Ovis aries: one gene and its partner. The protein of the gene in region 1 interacts with the protein of each later gene in a biochemical or structural test. Links are inferred from orthologs where the notes say so. Each region holds a gene or a part of one and is shown in the gene's direction. Other genes may lie near its edges.

Region 1 (3,480 bases):
GTTAGCTAAGACCTCCAAAACAACGTGTATAATGCCCGCTCCACACCCCATCCTCTTGTATTCCCAGAGCAACACCAGTCCTCTCCAATATTTATATCAGTTGTTTTATTTTATCATCTTATTCCTGTAGCTAAAATTATAAATTTTGCTTATCTTTTCCTCTCAGACTGCCAAACCAGTGCTAGATATCCCCCCTCACATTTATACCAGTTATTTCATTTTCTTATTTCTTTACCTGAAACTTCCAAAACAATGTTTTTCTTCTTCCAGTTTTACTGCAGTATGATTGACACACATTACTGTATAAGTTTAAGGTGTACAGCATAAAGAGTTGACTTGTATACATCAAGAAATAATTATCACAATAAGTTAAATAAACATCCACCAGCTCATACAGATACAAAATAAAAAGGAAAAAAATTCTTTACACTCTTAACTTTCATATATAACATACAGCAGTGTGAATCATTTATCATGTTGTACATTATATCCCTAGTACTTACTTTTCTTATAACTGGAAGTTTGTGCCTTTTGACTGCCTTCATCCAATTCCCTTTCCTCTCACCCCACACTGAAACTTCTCAGACAATATTAATGAGTCTCCCTTTTCATTCCTTTTCTGAGAAACACAAACCCACCCTGTGACATTCGTGGCCAACATGAAGATGTCTTCAGGGTGCCCTAATGCCCCCCAGATGCCTCTTGTCCCTCAGAACAGCCCTAGACCGGTGCTGTTGCCCACCGTTAACTCGCTTACAGCATTTATTTCATTTTTTAAAATATATTTATATTTTTTATATTTTTATATTTTAATCCTTTAGCTCAAACCTCCAGAACACTATTCATAATGAGTCTGCCTCACTCTATGCACTGAAACCACTAGAACATCCCTGAGATCCTCCAGGGCTATCCTGAAATACCCCAAACGTGCTCTGTGACCCACCCAAGCCAGCCTTAAGATTCCCACAGTATTTTTACCAGTATTTTAAATTCTTGTTAGTTGCTATCAGTCACTTCATTTTCCAATTGTTTCAGCTTAAACCTCTCCAGTGGTATTAAGAATAAGGCTCCTCATCCTCTCCACCCTGATGACTTTGCCCTGTTTCACAGCTGTGTCAAGAGCTTTAAATCATCCTCTAATAATTCATATTTATTAACAATTCATCACCATATTCTTCCATATTCATTTAGTCTCTTCCAACATTTATATCAGTGACTTCATTTCCCTGTCTTACTGCATTAGCTAGACTCCAAAACTGTGTCCTGGCAGCCACCCCCAGGGCCCGGCCCTGTTAGCCCACAGACACCCCTGGTTCCAGGAGCCAAGAGGAAAGCCTGTTCCTAGATCTGCTTCCCTAGTTGGGTCCCAGTGTGGAGAGGAGCCAGTGGGTGTGGCCATGTGTATCTAAGGTAGGGTGGGGGAACCTAACAGAAGATGAGAGTATGACAGAGGGAGACTTGGACGGGGATGGATGGGACTGAGGTGTGGCAGGGAGAAGGGCAGTAGACTAAAGGAAAGATTATGCAGTGGGGAGACAGAGAAGGGGAAGAAGCTGGAGGAGAAGACAGGGAAATCGGGTTGGGGAAGAGTAGTAGAAAGTAGGGGAGAAGGGAGGAGGCCTCAGATGAAGAGGTGAGTGAGATGTGAAAGAAGCTGGGAAGAGGACCCTATGGGGACACAGACACTGAGCAAGGACAGTGTATATGTAAAAGGACAGGAGAGGCATGAAGGGAAAAAAACACCAGGAGACACTCCTCACCGTCCACTCTCTCTAGCCCTTTCTTCTAAGACACTCTATCCTGTCTCTTCCCCCTTACCAGAATATCATCCGCAAAGTGAGCGGCCAGAAGTTTGTCTACAAGTTTGTGTCCTACCCTGAGGTCGCAGGGTGCTCCACTGAGGACTGCCCGCCTCAGCCTGAGGTGTCTGTCACCTCCACTCTGGCAAATGCAGGCGCCACAGCTGTACACGCCATCCCCGGGGACACTGCCTCTGGGAAGCCAGGCACACTCAAGGGTGCAGGAATGGCAGGCCCAGGTGGCTTGGCGCGCAGCAGCCGAAATGATTACATGCGCTCAGGCCTCTATTCCACCTTCACCATCCAGTCCCTGCAGCCACAACCGCCCTCTCACCCTCGACCTTCCACAGTGCTCCCCAACACCGGCCCTGCAGGAGTAGCAGTGCCTCCCTCGGGGAGCAGGAGCACCAGTCCAAACCCCTTGGAGGCCTGCCTGGAAGCTGAGGAGGCTGGCCTGCCTCTGCAGGTAAGGACTGGAATATGGAATTTCAGCAAGAGGAGGGATGTACAGTTCCCAAATGAAGAGAGGGACTGGGAAGAGGAGGGACATAATGTCCTGTTAAAGATGATATAATGGAAGGAGAGACACAGAAGTCCCCTTGGAGAAAGAGATGGGGAGGAAAACTATTCAAAACCCTGGGAAGGAAGAAGGAAATTGAGTGCACTACAATTAGCAGTACACCCAATATGTAGTAGGTGCCCTTGAATGTATTTGCTTAATGCACTGGCTCTCACACTTTTAGCACTCATCAGAAAGCACTTAGAGGGCTTTTAAAGACAGACGTGCTGAGGGACACCCCGAGAGTTTTTCTTTATGTGAGTCTGAGGATGGGCCCAAGAGTCTACATTTTTAACAAATTTCCAGATGAGGTGTATGCTGCTGGTCCATAAAGCAAATTTTTGAGAACCACTGCTTTTATACATGGGGGCAGTATTTCCTGGAGTCCCACCCCTGAAGGCAACCCAGATAAGAGGACCAGAAGCCCCATTTTCTTGGCAAAGTACCACATCTTGTTAAAGGACCTGCCCCTATTCTCAGGTCCCACTTTCCATGGGAAATAACTGGCTTCACTACCCCAGGAATCCTTAGGCATCCCTTCTGCACTCGTTCCTCTCCCAGGTCATCCTGACCCCACCCGAGGCCCCAAACCTTAAATCCGAAGAGCCAAACATGGAGCCTGGGTTGGGCCGGCCACTGCCCCCAGAAGTCAAAGTGGAAGAGCCCAAGGAAGAGTTAGAAGCTGCAGCCAGTGGGGAGGCGGGGTTTGTGCTGGAAGCCGTCAAGGCCGAGCCCTTTGAGCCCAAAGTCGACCCAGAAGTCCCTCCAGCAGAGGGCGTGCCAGCCCGGCTGTCCGCTGTCGTAATGGAAACTGCGGCGCAGGTGGGCGGCCTCACGGCTTCTACAACACCCAGCGCGGAGATTGCCCAGCCTCAGAAGGGCCGGAAGCCCCGGGACCTGGAGCTTCCACTCAGCCCGAGCCTGCTGGGTGGACCAGGACCCGAACGGACTCCGGGATCGGGAACTGGTTCAGGTCTACAGGCGCCAGGTCCAGCGCTGACGCCTTCCCTGCTACCTACGCACACATTGGTGAGCACTTTTGAAGGGGCGGGGCTGGCACCTGGAACAAATGGGATTGGGGCGGGGTGGCGCGGGGTGGGGGAGGGAGACTTACCGCGAAGG
Region 2 (4,384 bases), on another chromosome or scaffold:
AAGTTTTACACTGTAATATTTACTCTTTTTTTGTGAGACCCATTAAATTAATAATAATTTACATGTTGCAGTATACTAAATTGCAGTATACTAAATATACCTATCACTACCACTGGATTCACCACCGACTACTTTATTTAATCTTTACAGTAATTTAAAGTGGGAATCATCACTCTCTCCCATCCCCTTAAACATAAGGTGATTACCTCACCACTTGGACCACCACTGCACTTTAATCTGTATCTCACCTAATCTTTATTAAGAACTTCAAGGGATGAGTACCAACAGTGAAGTCATGTGGAGTTTGGAGAGGTCAAACACTTGTTTCCAGGCGCAGGGCTAGGAAGAGGCAGCTTCCAGATTTTAATAATTTCTGTAATAGTGAAGTTCAAGCTACTTTCACTGCCTTGTAGCTAAGAACCAGACCCAGACTGTAAACCTGGGTTTTGCACCACTCCAGTCGAACTGGCCCCCCGCCCCTTCTATGGGCTTTACTTGGTTTTTAAGAGAAGGGTGGGAGTGAGTGTGTGTGTGTGGCGCGCGTGTGTGCACTTGCTTGCTTAAACTTTCTGCTCTGCTACACTTTTTCCCAGGCCTCTGCACTGACTGGGGGTGGGCTTTATCCCTGGGACCACCCCCTCCCCCAGTCCAGCCGCAGCTGGAAGTCTTCACAGATCTTCATCTCTCCTCCCTGCCCCCATTGGCGACCGGGAGGCCGACTGTCTCCCCGGGTCTTTTCCAGATGTACGTATGCCAAAGATCCCCGCCCCCCGCAACCAGTATAGAGAATGATGAATGAGGACAAGGGAGCCGTCCTGGTGGGAAAGTGTCGTCGCCTTGAAAAGAGAGGGAAAGGGAAAGGAAGTGGTTGGGGGGAGGGGAATTGGTGGAGCCGAGAGGCCGCGCGGCGCAACAAGTCTGGACAGCGGGGACCCAAGCCCCCTCTGCTCGGCCAGTAACGTTGACTCCCTCAGGAAGGCTTGGGGAAGTGCTCTAATCCCTGTACTCCCTGGGAATTTGGGCTGCATATAATTTACTGCAATCCGCACAATCCACTCAGGGACTATTCCAGAGTTGGCTTCCAGCCCTTGCAGCGCCGAGTTCCCAGTGCGGCTTCCTATCCTCCGCAAGACTGCGCTCCAGTGCTCTTCCAGGCTTTCTGCAGGTTCCTCCCAACTCTCTCTACCATTCTCTGGCCAGGGGGGCGGAGTCGTACCTCCTCTCCTGTTCCTTTAAGAGGCGTCGGCTCCTCCCCTTTTGGAGTCGCCGTCTGACGCGGGATGACAGCAGCGAGTTCGGTATGTCTATGCAAATAAGCGCCCCCTGTGGGCCAATGGGGAGCGGAGGTGCCGGAACCGCGGACCAATGGGGCGGGGGTGCAGGGGCTCACCATATAAGGAGCGGCCTCGCCATAAAAGGAAACATTGTATCTCTTTATATGGGGGGAAGGGTCGGGGGATCCCTCGCCGCCAGCGCGTGGTCCCGGCCCCCTCCACCCGCCGTCTCGGCCGCGGCCGGCAGCCCCTGCCCCCCGGGGGACGCTGACGGCCGCCGGGCGCGCCGCCCTAGCGTACGGACAGGGGGCGCTCCGCGCGGCCTGGGGCAACCCGGGCCACAGGGGCAGGAAAGTGAGGGCCCAGGTCGGCCCGGGCGTGCAGGGGCCCCGGGTTCGCAGCGGTAGCGGCGGCAGCGATAGCGATATTAGCAGCAGCGGGAGCACCGGGTTGAGCCGGGAAGCCGATGGCGGCGGCGGCGGCGGCTCCGATTCCTCGCTGACTGCCCGTCCGCCCTCCTGCATTGAGCGCCATGTTACCGAGCCAAGCTGGGGCCGCGGCGGCGCTGGGCCGGGGCTCAGCCCTGGGGGGCAGCCTGAACCGGACGCCGACGGGGCGGCCGGGCGGTGGAGGCGGCGGGACTCGAGGGGCTAACGGGGGCCGGGTCCCCGGGAACGGCGCGGGGCTTGGGCCGGGCCGCCTTGAGCGGGAGGCTGCAGCAGCAGCGACAACCACCCCGGCGCCCACCGCGGGGGCCCTCTACAGCGGCAGCGAGGGTGACTCGGAGTCGGGCGAAGAGGAGGAGCTGGGCGCCGAGCGGCGCGGCCTGAAGCGGAGCCTGAGCGAGATGGAGCTCGGTGTGGTGGTCGGTGGGCCCGAGGCGGCGGCGGCGGCCACGGGGGGCTACGGGCCGGTGAGCGGAGCGGTGAGCGGGGCCAAGCCGGGTAAGAAGACTCGGGGCCGCGTGAAGATCAAGATGGAGTTCATCGACAACAAGCTGCGGCGCTACACGACCTTCAGCAAGAGGAAGACGGGCATCATGAAGAAGGTACCGGGCTGGGAGGCTGGCCGGCCAGCGGGAGCCCAGGAGGGTGGGGACGCGCAAGGGGAGCCCGGGAGGAAGGCAGAGCTGAGGCGGAGGTGAGAGGCGGCGAGTCCGCAGGAGGTGTGTGGGAGGGGTTGACTGTTGCCCCGGGAGGGTGAAAGGGGAGGGGCCGCCAGGGAAATGTGGGGAGAGGGGAGATGCCGCGACTGTCCGGAAAAGAGGAAAGGCGCCGAGGTGGGAGTGACGGGCGCGTGAGAGGAACTCGGCCCTTGCAGAGCCGAGGAGTGAAGAGTGGTGATGGGAGGCTGCAGGGCTCCCGGGGAGGTGCTGAATGAGGCCGGGGGGTCAGTAGGTCCAGTGCTCTCTGGTGTTCCGGGAAAGGCGCCGGAAAAGCAGGGAACAGATAAGAAGGTGTGGGGGCGAGGAGGCTAGATCTGTGTAACAACAATGAGCGAACATGTGTGGGAGGAAGGTGGGCATCGCTAGAGTGATGTTGGTTGGAAGGACGGGCAGGGCTGATGACCGAATGGGGCTCAAGAGCCCCAGTTAAGGGAGCAGGGCAGGAAAACGGATGCTACCCTGAGCATCAGAAACCAAGTCCTGCGATGGCCATGGGTCTTCATGCATCTACTGGAAGCCGGCACACTCCCTGCAGGACAGGCCTCAGAACCATTTGCCCTTGGGATAAGTGGGATTTCCAGCCCTAGGGAAAAATCGGTGCACGGAGTTTGGAGAGAAGGTTTGCAGAGGTACCTAGCAATGCCTCCTCTTCTAGCTGATTATCCAGTGAAAAGAATGAGGAAAGGAGTCATCTTTGGCCTATAGGAGATATGGGAAGGAATGGAAGCAGAGTAACTGGGAAACAAGAAGCTTGAACTCTGGAAACATTGGCCGGTGTTTATATCCATCCCATATAGAAACCAAGGCTGCTTCCAGTGGGTTGTGGAACTTTATTGGGAGTGAGGATGCCACCTATGGGGCCATCCTTGAAGGCCCCTTCCTGGCTTTATGGCAGGGTCAATTCAATCGCTCAGTTAATGTCTGACTCTTTGTGACCCCATGGACTGAAGCACACCAGGCTTCCCTGTCCCATCACCAACTCCCGGAGCTTGCTCAAACTCATGTCCATCGAGTCGGTATTATGGTAGCGTAGTAGTTGCTAATCTAGCTGCCATCTCCCATCACTCCAGACACTGTTTCATCAAGACAAAGAAAGTGAAAAGGGGGAGCAGAGTTCTATAGAGCAGGACAAAATGGCAACAGGTTAGTGCCTGTGCAGTTTCTGGAAAGAAATATGGGACATTTGGAGTTTAGGTGGCTCCTTATCCCTGACATCTATGTGACACTCAGTGTAGTAGTGACTTCATCCTGGTCCCTGTGATGGTGATGAGGTGGTGGGAGCCATCTCTTCGTGAGGCTCTGGCACCAAGCTGTAGTGAGGAGCAGCTCCCTGGGCCACTCTGTGTCTGCTGAGGTTATATGCTCTGTCACTGGGAGCTGTGACTTTGCTTGGGGTATCTGCTGGTCAGTGGGGCTGTTCCTCAAAGGAGGGGCATGGGGTTTTTCTACTCTTCAGCTAACCTTCAGATATCCTTCAGACAGGACCCCCTTAGAGTCACTGGAGAGGAAGGTCATTATGGAAGTGGGAGCTTGAGATCACTGTGTACTTCCCTCTTTCCTGCTAGCCAAGGAAGGTAGCGATTAAACATTTTGCTGTTCTACCCATCTCCTCCCCCCTACCCCCAGGCCTATGAGCTGTCCACGCTGACAGGGACACAGGTGCTGTTGCTGGTGGCCAGTGAGACAGGCCATGTGTATACCTTTGCCACCCGCAAACTGCAGCCCATGATCACCAGTGAGACTGGCAAGGCACTGATTCAGACCTGCCTCAACTCGCCAGACTCTCCACCCCGCTCAGACCCCACCACAGACCAGAGAATGAGTGCCACCGGCTTTGAAGAGACAGACCTCACCTACCAGGTGTCGGAGTCCGACAGCAGTGGGGAGACCAAGGTGTGTTTGGGTCTCCTGTCTGAGGGGAAGGAAGGGGAGGGACCTGGCCAGC

What was found.
Region 2: the proteins of ELK1 (region 1) and SRF form a complex in vitro, tested with the Homo sapiens proteins (2 studies listed by BioGRID). The link is inferred for Ovis aries from reciprocal best matches to the Homo sapiens genes ELK1 and SRF.

Annotation. Positions count from the first base shown.
Region 1 is NC_056080.1:57,187,984-57,191,463, forward strand, and holds part of ELK1 (ETS domain-containing protein Elk-1), read left to right. Parts: intron 1-1,821; coding exon 1,822-2,265; intron 2,266-2,919; coding exon 2,920-3,387; intron 3,388-3,480. UniProt on the Homo sapiens protein: Transcription factor that binds to purine-rich DNA sequences. Forms a ternary complex with SRF and the ETS and SRF motifs of the serum response element (SRE) on the promoter region of immediate early genes such as FOS and IER2.
Region 2 is NC_056073.1:16,768,083-16,772,466, forward strand, and holds the start of SRF (serum response factor), read left to right. Parts: upstream 1-1,419; 5' UTR 1,420-1,806; coding exon 1,807-2,322; intron 2,323-4,065; coding exon 4,066-4,332; intron 4,333-4,384. UniProt on the Homo sapiens protein: SRF is a transcription factor that binds to the serum response element (SRE), a short sequence of dyad symmetry located 300 bp to the 5' of the site of transcription initiation of some genes (such as FOS).